Drosophila melanogaster: one gene and its partner. The protein of the gene in region 2 purifies or fractionates together with the protein of the main gene of each other region. This does not show direct contact. Each region holds a gene or a part of one and is shown on either strand. Other genes may lie near its edges.

Region 1 (6,566 bases), on a different chromosome or scaffold from region 2:
TATTTCAATATTAAAAAGTCAGGTTTCGAAGTAACAGTTCCCGCACTTATAAAAATATTTAAACAAGCTATTGCAGATGTTTATCATTATTTAAATTTTATTTCATTACATCTACCACACTTTCCGTTTTTTTGGATACCGCTCAAATCATACAAATTCGCAAAAATCGAACAATATTATTTGTATAAGTTATAATCGCCCGCCCGTTCCTCGTTTTTACATATTTGTGCTTGTCTCTCGTTTACATTTTATGTATATAATGTTTATATATTTCGATCGGTGTAAGTTATATGCTTGTTTGTATATACAGTTTTTGCACGTGCACACGACAGGGTAATTACAACCGATGTCAGCAGCTTTCGTTGGCTCAGCAACTTAGCAACTCAGCAAGGATGCGCAGTGAATGTGTGGTTTGCCTTAGTTTTCTTTACAATTACGTTTTGTATAATGTATTTATCTATATATAACATATATGACTAATCGTAAGTTGCATTGACAAGTGGGTTGGATAGGGGTTTTTTCTTTTGATTTGAAGGGTAGGGCTTTTGGGTGGGGTGATGTACAATACGTTTTCGTAGCGCTTTCTTCGTATAAACTAAATTCGTCTAAGCTTTAAAAACAAAACATACAATACAATTACAATTCATAATCAAGAGAATTATGAAGGTAACATATAGAGGGCTGGAAATAATGCAATGGGTATTACTAGACACACAATCTTTGTTCCTGGTCGGACTCACTCATCACTTGTATCACTGATCACTTGATTTTACCGACTTAGTCAAGCTATCCCTAATCCCTTATATCCGCCTGCTCCTCTGACTTTCTCCGATCTTCGAGGATGTAAAGCTGTAACAACGCGAACGTAATTCCGTAAAAAGGTAGTTATTATTAGCACTTTATCTTCGTTGACTATGACTACGGGGGCTTTCTTTGTGTGGGAGTGAAAGATAAGCGGCGCACTGCTGACCCTCTAGCCATTCTCACATTGATGGCCCTCGCAGTTGCCCCAAAATATGCAGTTCCCGACGCCACTGTAGCATATCAGGGATACGGCTGTGAGGAATACGAGGCTGCAGATGGTGCAGGGCTTTCGCTCCAGGAAGAATCCGACCAGGTAGAGGACTATGAACATCACGTGCGTTTCCATCAGGGCCGGATTCGAGGGTTTCGGTATCAGTAGTACGGGCAGCAGGCATTGTAGGCAATACATTCTGTGTGCGGTTGGGTGGGTGGTTGTGTTGTTGTTGCTATTTCTGCTTAAGATTTGGGTTCTATTTGCGTGTGCGTTGACGTGGTCTTCCGCGCGGCCTGCAAGTGTCCCAGGATGACCCCGGGGGGTTGAGGTTAGTCTTAATTGTTCTATAATTACTATCATTCGTAGTCCTGGGCAAAGACCACAAACGTCACCAGAACGCGGATCTGTTTTCCCAGTTCTAGCACGGGTCGCCGCTCTGCGGGATTACCTCCGATTGGGCCTCCTGGCGCTGACCTCTCGATTTTCGGGTCGTTTAGATGCTCGCTTGTTGTGCGTCGTTTTAAATCATCACATATTTACCAAAATTTACTTGTCTGGGCCTATCGGGCCCTATCGATAAGCCTATGTGGGTCTGAGTGGCAGTGTGACCAGCTGCCCAATACCGATATGTTGGAACTAGTGATTGCGCGGAACCAATAATACCGCCTAAATTTGAATTCATATTTCTTTCTTAATAATAATAATAAATAATATTTATAAATGTTAAGAAATTGTTTAATAAACAAATGCAAACAAAAGTAGTTGTAATAAAAGTACTCTCGAACAACAAAACAGTACAACTGACTTACTATTAGGTATACATTTATCTGTACTTTCTTTTTTCTTTTTCATCGGAAGTCTTTTTTTTGTGCGCGGAATTGGCTCGAATGGGATATGCAATTTACATATAAACATAATATATGCACGAATATTTATGTACACATGAATGAACCGACGTATGGCAGCGGTTGATACATACAAATTAACTTAATTATGCATTCCAGTAAAGGGTGTTATCATAGATCGACGGATCGGTAGCCAGTGGTACCAGGAACATCCATCCAACAAATCCAGCTAAGTAGAGAATAATGGCCACTACTCGTCGCCAGAGATCCTGCTGCCACAGATCCTGCAGATCCGGCAGACCCATATGATTGCAAAACGCGTGCACCAAGATGGGAGCCATCACATGACCTGTACGGGCAAATAGAAAGGCCGAATAGAAGCCAAATAGCGTGGTGTAGATGAACTGGAACAGTCCAATCAATAGGGCAGTGCTCAACTCCACGCCTAAGCTCAGGCGTTCGGCTATGTGATGCAAGTGGGCTACTCCGAAGAAAAGCGGCGTTATGAAAACGGCGACCAGGGGCGAAAAGCTCTGCAGGATCAGGGGCATCATGCAGGCTCGGAACACGAACTCCTCGCTCAGCGGTGCTATCACATGGTTGCGCACCCAGATGATGCTGCCAAATGATCCCCTCCAGTAGTCCAGATCTGCAATTCAAATCAAGCAGTGAGAAGGGGCTGATAGGCAGAGGGGCTTTAACTATTACCGAAGTAGGAGCGCACGGACTCGTTCTGCATGTTGACAAAGATGGGTCCCAGGAAGAGCAGCACCGTCAGGCTGTATGGTATAACAACAGCCTGCCACAATCCCTCCAAGCGCAAACCGAGCAGCTTGGGAAATGGTACCCGGCTGAGCAGCTCCGGCGATGAGAAGAAGTAAACGAAGAACGGGGCTGCCAGCATCACCATGGACACACTGGCGAATCTTCTCTTGACCGTGGTTGGATGATCCCGGTTGTGTTTGGTGCTCCAGATGTAGAGGCTACCCACGTACAGAACAGCCAGAACGAAGCAACAGCTCACCGAAGTGGCCACCGGGATCTGGGGCAATGATTCGTGGACTACATTTTCTTGCATGGTGACTTCGGCTTCCGTCTCACTCAGGTTTTTCATTCAATTTGTGTTATTCGTCATTCTTCGCTGACTATTAGCCGAAGAAAAAAAGTACACAACGACAGCTGATTTTCAGCTGACTGCAACAGTAAGACCATTGCTTCGCGAGAACTAGTTCAAGATGGCAGTGGCATTTGGTATATTTTTATCACCATGGAAAGTAGTCGTGCTTCTTGGTCACATTGTGCAGTGATAAGCATCGTGGAACGGCGGCGATTTTCGGTTGTGTTTTTAAACTAAATTTACCGACAAAGTTACGAAAATAAATTAATACCAAGTTAGCCAAGGTATTCAGTTACCACCGCAGATCAGCCAAGATGTCGTTCCTACTGAAAGCAGTTACCACAGCCCGTCACATCGTTCATAAGGTTTCCTCGCACTCACATTCCTCTATAATATATCAACTCTTCGAAAAGAGAAGTTGAAGTGACCTTTGTCTTGGCTTTGTTTATCTTTCGATGATAGGTTCCCGTGCGCAACCTGAATCTGCTGGAGTTCCAGAGCAAGGATCTCCTCCAGAAGTATGGAGTGGCCATACAGCAATTCAAGGTCTTGAATAACTCCAAGGCAGATGCCGAGGTCGTCAAGACTTTTGGTAAGTGGAGGACGGAACCATGCCGGTGTTTATGTAATCCCTGGGCTAATTGGTGTTAAATGCTGTGCTTCTGTGTTTCAGAGTGCCCGGAATACGTGGTGAAGGCGCAGATTCTCGCCGGTGGGCGTGGCAAGGGAACTTTCGACAACGGATTCAAAGGCGGCGTCCATATCACCACCAAGTATTATAGATTAGGTCTATTCCGGCTATTCACATTCACATTTTATCTAAAAAATTAATATTATTTATGTTCTACAATATCATTTGTATATAAGATTAATCTTATCATTCTGCCCATATTGAAAATGATAAAAGTTTGTGAAAGCCAGAGTGTACCTTAAAAACACAAGTGATAAGACCAGCTTATACTAATAATTATTTAACATTTTGCCAGCAAGAGCGAGGTGCTTTCGCTTACCCAGCAGATGATTGGAAACCGACTGATAACGAAACAAACGCCCAAATCGGGAATTTTGGTCAACAAGGTCATGGTGGCACGCAGTATCAACATCACCCGCGAGACCTATCTCTGCATCTTGCTGGACCGCGAGCACAATGGACCCGTGCTGATTGCCTCACCTGCCGGTGGCATGGATATCGAGGCGGTGGCCGAGGAAACCCCTGAGAAAATTAAGACTGTTCCGCTAGACATTGGCAAGCCCATACCGGAGTCGACGCTCTTGGAGGTGGCCAAGTTCTTGGAGTTCAAGGGAGACTCTGTAAAGCGTTGTGCTGAGGAAATTCAAAAACTCTATACTCTCTTCAAAGCTGTGGATGCCGTACAGATCGAGATCAACCCGCTGGCGGAGACGGATAAGGGAGAAGTTATCTCCGTTGATGCTAAGCTCAACTTTGACGACAATGCCCAGTTCCGTCAGAAGGATATTTTCTCCATGGACGTCACCGAGGAGGAATCCGATCCCCGAGAAGTGGAGGCGGCCAAGTACAATCTGAACTACGTCGCCATGGATGGCAACATTGGCTGCTTGGTTAATGGTGCCGGCCTGGCCATGGCCACCATGGACATCATCAAGCTGAATGGAGGCGAGCCCGCCAACTTTTTGGACGTCGGCGGTGGCGTCAGGGAGGATCAGGTGGCCAAAGCCTTCGAGATCCTCACTGCTGACCCGAAAGTCAAGGGAATCCTGGTCAATGTCTTTGGCGGCATTGTCAATTGTGCCACCATTGCCAATGGCATTGTGGCTGCATCCAAAAAGCTGCAACTGAATGTTCCACTGGTTGTGCGACTGGAGGGCACCAATGTAAATCAGGCTCGCGAGATCCTGAAGAATTCGGGCCTGCCCATTCAGACAGCCAGTGACTTGGATGATGCCGCCCACAAGGCTGTGGCAGCCCTTAATTAGGGGAACGATTGAGGAGAGCATGTCTTCCAGAATGAAACGACGCTCATTAGCATTTACAACGGTTGGGCCTTTTAAGTATAAGTTTTTATCGACAATATAACCAAAATATGTTATATTCTATATAAAAAGCTTTTTATTTGATTTAAGAAGTACCTTAGCCATCTATCAAAAATTAATTAAATTTAAAATCATTTATTTCTTAATTTAAAAAATGTATAATCTAAATTGTTTAATTTACTGTTTTGAAATTTATTGGTACCGTAGCATTTGGTATTTATTTTGTGGCCCCATGGTATTCTGCGGTATTACCAGTGCGGCCACACTGCAGTCCACACCCAAACAGCAAACCAAACAAACATTTCCCCAGGAAACCAGCGAAATTCCAATAGAATTTCCCACTCAAAGGATGCAAAAACCATCCCACTTCGCACGCGAGGATTCCCAGGAGCACCTGCCCACCAGCCACACGCAAAACAGTCACACAGTGAACATGAAGAGACGCACACTATCCGGAAGTTGTGGCGTTGGCGTCTTCGTGTTCGCCTTTGCCTTCATCGTGATTGCGTTTGCAACGCCCAGTTGGTTGGTCAGTGATTACCGCATCACGGGCGCCAAGCTGGATCGCCTGGGATTGTGGGTGCACTGCTTCCGGTCGCTGCCGGACGTGAACGACGATAGCCAGCGGAGATTCTTCGTGGGCTGCCGTTGGGTGTATGACCCATTTACCACGGGTTACGATGAGATCCGTGGATTCCTGCTGCCCGCCTTCATGATAGCCACTCAGTTCTTCTACACTTTGGCCTTCATCGGGATGTTGGTATCTGCCATCGGAGTACTGGTCTTCATCCTGTGTGCTGGTCCGGATCAAAAGCACTTCATTACGCTCATTAAATCGTTGGGATATGTGCTTCTCGGTGCTGGAGTAAGTGCAGCCATTGCAGTGATTGTATTCGCTGGATTTGGCAACCGGAATGGCTGGATGCCGGAGCATGCGAACAATTGGTTTGGCTGGTCCTTTATCCTGGCGTGTGTGGGTACTGTGTTAACCCTGGTGGCGTCTACTTTGTTCCTCAGTGAAGCCCACGTGCAGCACAAGAAGAGAATTCAGTTCAAGGAATCTCAGACGCGATTTGAGCTGGTGCGCGGATAGTCGATGGTAAGTACTTGACTATATCCAAGTCAGGGTCGGTCGCTTAACCTTCTTGCATTGTCTATTTTAGCCGTGGCAGCTGGCACACTTGCACCAAGGAAAACACAAGCCAACCAAGAGGAAAACAAAACAAAAACATTCCGTCCCCTCAAAGAATTCTCACCCTAAACATTACAGTCGAACTTCTCTAAGGCGAAATATTCTAACTAACAGTTTCTGGTAGTGCACGTTTTTAAAGTTGGTTTATGTTCGTTTTATATTTTATTCAATGGTTTCCCTGTGCATAGGTTAAAGTATTCATGTCGGTAACATTCGTTTTATATTACCTTAAATCGTTTAAATAACTCCCCAACTGGCGGAGATTTCGAAAAATTTTAACGAACCAAAGTTATTTTGGATAAAAATAATTTTCGCCATATATTCATCGCTTCTCTCTAACATACCTAAAGAAATTAATTTTAGTTCAGAGAAGTTCGACTG
Region 2 (7,290 bases):
AGTCATTAGATGGGCAACATGGCGCTTGCGGCTTTCTGGATTACGGTCGATCCATTTAACACACAATTTCCATACGTGATCCTCTTCGCGGGTATTTAACTCATCATCGCTAATAATACTGTAAAAGTCTTCAGCTGACATATCTAGTATGTCAATATTACGATATGCAACTTCAGTAAAGTACCTTAGAGTGTAGTTCCTGGCCTTCAGGTGAAGGTCCTCCAAAAATCGGAACCTACGTAAAACAATTAAAAGGGTTTCCTTACGACAATTAGCGAATTAAACCCACCGTGCGAATCCCATAATACTGACACAGTTTTCGGGGGTGAGTATGCGACCGAGGTAGTCTTTACATTTCTTAACTAAACCTACCATGCCAACGTAGTCAGCGCAGATAAGTAACTCATGAACATTGCTCTCGGAGATGTTTGTTTGACGCAGGTAAGCGTACTGTATTACACAGTTCATTATACATGAACTCACGCCGGGGATATGAATAAAATTATTGTTTTTTTTTGCATCTGACCCATCTACACATCCGGGAGTGTCAGCGTTAAACCCTGTGAATTGAGCTCTGGTGGGAATACGTGTTATCTTCACAATTCAGGGTGAAGTTATTAACTCACCGAAAGTATGAGCTACATGAACACATTATTGCACGATGTACGTTGAACACATCCTCCCCCACAGAAATCTGGGCGTCGCAGAGAAGATTTTGCTCGCGGAGCTCATTTAGCGTGTTCAGGGCCTCGTCACTCACAATGGGAGCCAAAGATTTTGTGTGCGCATTCAAAATGGTTTTACGGCCAATACCGAGCGTCTTGTCCTCGGGGCTATTGCCGTCTGCGTTCAGCTGCAACGAATCCATTGAGACGGGGGGCAGAGCAAGAGCAAAAGGCAGATCTTCATTGATATCAAGGAGGTTGCTTTCGTTTTGATTACGACTCATTAGAAGAACGAGGTGAAGTCCAACCCCTTTACTGTGTTCGATGCTGAACCGTGTCTATGGGGTGGAAATTAGGCACATACGTAAATAAAATAGGTGGGATCTGTAAATGGTTGTTACCTCGCGTTCTAATAATTTTTGTTTTTACTGTGAAAAGAAGTACCTTCGTATTTAACTGCAGGAACAGGAATATTAGTCAATGTAGGAATAGCAACAATAAATTTATGGGGGAAAACAAAATGACTGCTAAGCCTAAACAAAAATGATTATTATCATAAATAGGGTTAAATACGACTTTCAGTTTTATAAATGTAACATGGAGTAAGGCTGAAGGCTGGCAACAACCCGGTTGGCAGCGCTGTTGAGCAGCAACATGATTGTCGGAAATCGAAGTTATCGACAATCAGTCATCGAAGGAACGATCGCAAGGCAGCAGTGGTGTGGAAGTCAGCGTGGCAGTCAGTCGAGTTCTCAGCAGCAGTCGTTCGGTCACAAACTAAGAATACTTTATATAATTACCGCATTTAGAATTAAACTAATAATTAAATTAATAATAAACAATAATAATAAACAATCTTACATGGGGGCTCGTCCAGTCCTAAATCGGTTATATGAAGGTGCAGTTGTTTAAAGAAAAAAGACATTGTTGTGTGCGTGGGTATAGTCTTTAAAAGTTGTAAAGTTGTGGCTATATCTATTGCATTTAAAGTTGGAAAAATCAGTTGTACAGATTTTGTTTGAACACAAGTCGGTAAAAGTCGGGAAAGCTGCTAGAGAGAACTGATAAAGTTGAAATTGTCGTGTGCGTGGATTTAGTCTTTAAAGTTGTAAAGTTATGGCTACGTCTACTGCATTGAAAGTTGAAAAAATCGATTGAACTCATACAGACTCAAGTCGTTTTGCTGTTGTGGAATTTAAAACAATTAAATTGCAAAGGTGGTGAAATTCGTTTCTAACGAAAATCAAAATTTGTCTTTTAACCGGTGGCGCCGTCTGCAAAATCGACTACCGTCGCGCCGTTAGAACATTGTCGTTGTTTGCTGGTGTTAGTGCCTTGTCGCGGAATGTTCACACGTACACCACCTACAAATAAAAAACTTAACACCGACCAAATACAAGCAATTCTAGAGAACGAAAGCGAGGACGAAAGCAGAAAAGAAAAAATGAACGAAGAAGATCAAAAGTTGGCGCCTGTAGGAGAAGCAGAGGCAAAGAAGCAGAATAAAGACGCTAGTGCTAAAGTCGAAGAGAAATTTGAACAAATGATGAATACTCTAACCCAGAGCATGTTGGCAAAATCTAAACAAGAGGGGCAAGTAATTATCGCTGCAGAAAAATTTGAAAAAGTTGTAAGTGACTGTGATGGCAAATCAATTCCTATTAAAAAATGGTTTGAAATTTTTGAGAAAAATGCCGAGGCATATGAACTTTCGGAGAAACAAAAATATGTTCAAGCCAGAAGTAAGATGATTGGATCAGCAGAACTTTTCTTAGAATCTGAATGTGTCAGTGGATACACTGAACTCAAAGAGTTACTAATTGAAGAATTTTCAGGCAGCTATAATAGCGCCGTTATTCACAAAAAGTTGCAAGACAGGAAGAAGAAGAGGGAGGAAACTCTACACGACTATTTGTTACAAATGAAGAAAATAGCAGCCTTAGGTGAAGTTGAAACAGTTGCTTTGATAACTCATATCGTAAACGGCCTCGACATTAAAAAGGAGTATAAGGGTGCTATGCTCCGTTGTAAAACTCTTAAGGAATTAAAGCAAGAATTCGAAATCTACGAGAGTCTGAATATTGTTGACAAGCCGAATATTCAACCAAAACCAAAGCAAATTACACAAGGTGTAAAAGCAGATCACTGCTTCAACTGTGGTTCGAGGGAACACAAACGAAAGGATTGTACACTTCCTACCAAATGTTTCAGCTGTAATCAAGAGGGCCATATCTCAAGCAAGTGTCCGGAAAAAGTAAACAGCATGCGCATTCACGTTGATAGTGCACGAACAAAGCCAGTAATCATAAATGGGATTATCATCAACTGTCTGGTGGACACAGGATCAGATGTGACCATAATTAAAGAAGCTATATTCAAGAAGATGAAAGATGTTGATTTAAACCGCACTGCAACAGTATTGCGAGGTTTGGGAAATGCCTCAACACAGCCGATTGGATGCTTCAGAGCATTAATCAAGACCGACCAGGTGGAAGCAAGCCACAACGTTTTAGTCGTCCACGATTCTAAATTCAGTTGCGATGGAATAGTGGGACACGATTTTATCAGCAAGTTTCGTCTTATCTGTAGTGCAGAAGGCTATACTTTTCTTGACCTGGAAGCAGATAAAAAACAAGCGGTTGAGTATTCCCAAATGTTTAATATTTGTGAAGAATCTTCTTTTACAGTTGCACCACAATACCGAGAAGACGTTGAACGCATGATAGAGAGAACATACGAAACACCACCCAAGCAGATAAAGCAATGTCCAGTCGAACTCAAAATTATTCCTGATGGCGTGATTAAACCCTTTCGCCATGGACACACCCGACTATCTGAAGAAGAAGCTATAGCTGTAAAGAAGCAGGTAGAGGAATGGGTCGAGCAGTCAATCGTCCGTAAATCTACATCAAATGTTGCCAGTCGCATAGTCGTTGTCAAGAAAAAGGATGGTACCCTACGCGTTTGCGTGGACTATAGAAAATTGAACACCATGGTTCTGATGGATTGTTTTCCGGTACCCATAATGGAGGAGGTGCTTGAAAAACTGCAGAGTGCCAAATGGTTTACAACCATGGACTTACAGAACGGATTTTTTCATGTGGCCGTAGAAGAAGCCAGCAAGCCGTACACAGCATTTGTTACCCGAGAAGGCTTATTCGAGTTTAACAAAGCGCCCTTTGGTTTTAAGAATTCCCCAGCAGCGTTTATACGGTTCGTTCAATTTATTTTTCAAGAACTAATCAATTCCAATATAATGCAGCTATATATGGATGACATAATTGTATATGCCGCTACCCCAGAAGAATGCATGGAAAAGACGGAAATGGTACTTAAGAGAGCTGCAGAATTTGGTCTAAAAATAAAATGGAAGAAGTGCAACTTTATGCAGAGGCGAATTCATTTCCTGGGACATATTATCGAAGGTGGACAAATATGCCCTGGAAAAGAGAAAACATCAGCAGTGAATTCCTTTGGAACACCTCAGAATGTAAAAGCCGTTCAAGGATTTCTGGGTCTCACAGGATTCTTCAGAAAATTCATACCTGGATACGCCCAAATTGCGAGACCACTGACGGACCTATTAAAAAAAGATGCCATTTTCAACATTGGACCAGTAGAGCAGCAGTCGGTGAATAAGCTGAAAGAGATTCTGGTAAACGAACCAGTATTGAGGATCTACTCACGAGAAGCAGAAACCGAACTTCATACAGATGCCTCTAAGGACGGGTTAGGAGCCGTTTTATTGCAGAAGTTCGAAGGCAGTTTTCACCCAGTCTGCTTTTGGAGCAGAAAAACTACAAAAGCCGAATCAAATCGTCATAGTTACTACCTTGAAGTAAAAGCCGCATACTTAGCTCTGAAAAAGTTCAGACACTATTTATTGGGAGTCCCTTTCAAGCTCGTCACGGACTGTGTCGCATTTAAACAGACAACAAAAAAAGCAGATGTCCCAAGAGAAGTTGGCCCATGGATTCTCTATATGCAGGATTTTAATTTTCAACCCGAACATCGTGCAGGAGAAAGAATGAGACACGTTGATTTTTTAAGCCGCCATCCCCAAGCATGCATGATGATAACATCCGAGTTGACAGCACGTATTAAAAAGTCGCAGCAGAACGATGATTCAATTAGAGCAATCCCGGAAATTCTAAAAGATCGTCTATTCCAACCCTACAAGCTAAAAGGTGGCCTGTTGTATAGTATGGTCAATGGCAATGAACTACTGGTTGTCCCTGCACTAATGGAGAGGGAGGTGATTCAAAGCGCACATGAAGTTGGCCATTTGTCGTTGCAAAAGACGATGCATAGCATACAGCAGCAATTTTTTATTCCTCATTTGGAATACAAGGTAAAAAAGCTAATTTCTAACTGTATAAAATGTATCATCCACAGCAAAAAGTTGGGAAAGCAGGAGGGATATCTAAATTGCATAGATAAAGGAGACGCACCGTTGCACACACTACACATCGATCATTTGGGGCCAATGGATTCATCGGCCAAACAGTATAAATACATTCTGGCAACAGTCGATGCGTTTTCAAAGTTTGTCTGGTTATTCCCAACCAAATCAACCGGACAGGAAGAAGTGGTCAAGAGGCTGACCGACTGGTCAAACATTTTTGGTTTCCCTAAGCGAATTGTTAGCGACAAAGGAACGGCCTTTACGAGTGGTGCGTTCGAACAATTTATGAGCAGCCATAACGTGGAACACGTCTGCACAACTACTGGAGTGGCCAGAGGCAACGGCCAGATAGAACGAGTAAATCGTTTAATTTTGGCAATAATATCAAAGCTGTCTTCAGACGAACCGTCGAAGTGGTACAAATATGTGCCTGAGGTACAAAAGGCGATCAACTGTCACGTGCATTCATCACTGAAGCTGTCACCATTTGAGGTCATGTTTGGCACCAAGATGTACACCCGAGTTGAGGATCGGTTACTGGAACTGCTCCAAGAAGAAGTGGTCTGTCAATTCAACGAGGACCGCTATGAGATGAGACAGCTGGTAAAACGCAACATCGAGCAGGCGCAGAAGGACTACAAGCGCAATTACGACAAAAAGCGCCGAGCTGAATACAAATACAAAGCAGGTGATCTGGTTGCAATTAAAAGGACCCAATTTGTAGCTGGCCGCAAGATGGCAAGCGGGTATTTAGGTCCATACGAAGTCACAGGGGTCAAAGACAATGGCAGATATGACGTTAAAAAAGCAGCAAACGTCGAAGGACCCAATGTCACATCCACCAGCTGTGACAACATGAAGTTGTGGAAGTACATAGCCGAAAATGCAGACCTATTGTCATCCGGGTCGGATGATGATGATCAGGAGGGCCGAATGTAACATGGAGTAAGGCTGAAGGCTGGCAACAACCCGGTTGGCAGCGCTGTTGAGCAGCAACATGATTGTCGGAAATCGAAGTTATCGACAATCAGTCATCGAAGGAACGATCGCAAGGCAGCAGTGGTGTGGAAGTCAGCGTGGCAGTCAGTCGAGTTCTCAGCAGCAGTCGTTCGGTCACAAACTAAGAATACTTTATATAATTACCGCATTTAGAATTAAACTAATAATTAAATTAATAATAAACAATAATAATAAACAATCTTACATAAATCTTTGTAATGCTGTTATTTTCATTTTTATACTTTTACCAAAATTAGTTACATTTGTATATATGTATATACATATATATTTTAAGCGCGGATTTATAAATTTGTTAAGAAGAAAATTGTGGTGTCAAATAAACATTAAACATAAAAGGTTAATTACATTTACTTATTTGGTTAGTATCCATGTAATCATAAGCCTAATGTGGTAACAAAAATTTACCATAACACAAAGACTCCGAGAAGCATACCTCAACGGTAGGAGCGGACTATTTTTATGCACTAGTAAGATACAAACGAATTTTTGGCTAAACTTAGCATTATGCAACACCACTCGGTTCCACAAAAAAAAAACAAATATAAAAATATTGATATGAAAAAGGAATGTTAATTTTTTTTCCCGCCGACTCACGATATTAGTATCGGGCATTTTTGGTATTTATTTAAATAAACTTACAATATACTAAGAATCGATTTTGACAATAATTATATCCAATAATTATATCCGTTTCTCGTAGAGTAAAAGGGTGTACTAGCATGTAAGTATGTAACAGACAGTATGTATAAAGTATATATATTCTTGATCAGGATTAATAGCCGAGTTGATATAGCCATGTCCGTCTGTCCCTATGAACGTCGAGAACTTGGGAATTATAAAAGTGTGGGAGTCGAGCCAAAATGGCAACCTTATATGTGCTATCGCACTCATTTAGTAACGAACCATTATAGCCAAATTCAAATCCTGGCAAAATTGAATATTGCCCTATAAAATACCACAAAATTCCCGTGTAGGATTGTAGCAAGCTACGGTCACACTTGATTTGCATACTTCCGTTCTCTTTTCGGAAAGTCGTGATCGAGGGCAGTTTAATTTGATGCAAAGTCCCTGATTATAAATCCACGAGAATCGTGTAGACCGGATAAGAGTTTTTCAAGGCAAATACTGCCAAGTGATAGTTTAAATCGTGATCTAACTTTAACTAGCCTGCTGCCGGTCCCACATTTGGAGGTAGAAGTC

The links. Proteins that work in one complex are often made in the same cells at the same time.
Region 1: the proteins of klhl10 (region 2) and ScsbetaG purify together in Drosophila melanogaster (affinity purification with western blotting, with the first as the bait; one study listed by BioGRID). This does not show direct contact.

What each region holds. Positions count from the first base shown.
Region 1 is NT_037436.4:5,560,272-5,566,837, reverse strand, and holds ScsbetaG (Succinyl-coenzyme A synthetase beta subunit, GDP-forming), read left to right. Parts: upstream 1-3,146; 5' UTR 3,147-3,294; coding exon 3,295-3,345; intron 3,346-3,442; coding exon 3,443-3,572; intron 3,573-3,653; coding exon 3,654-3,753; intron 3,754-3,966; coding exon 3,967-4,936; 3' UTR 4,937-5,137; downstream 5,138-6,566. Other genes in the region: bc10, read right to left, coding at 974-1,213; Sras (severas), read right to left, coding at 2,010-2,512, 2,572-2,977; sinu (sinuous), read left to right, coding at 5,343-6,086.
Region 2 is NW_007931083.1:50,604-57,893, reverse strand, and holds the start of klhl10 (kelch like family member 10), read right to left. Parts: upstream 4,453-7,290; 5' UTR 4,352-4,452; intron 1,193-4,351; exon of another isoform or gene 1,067-1,192; intron 1,004-1,066; 5' UTR 950-1,003; coding exon 627-949; intron 575-626; coding exon 290-574; intron 236-289; coding exon 1-235.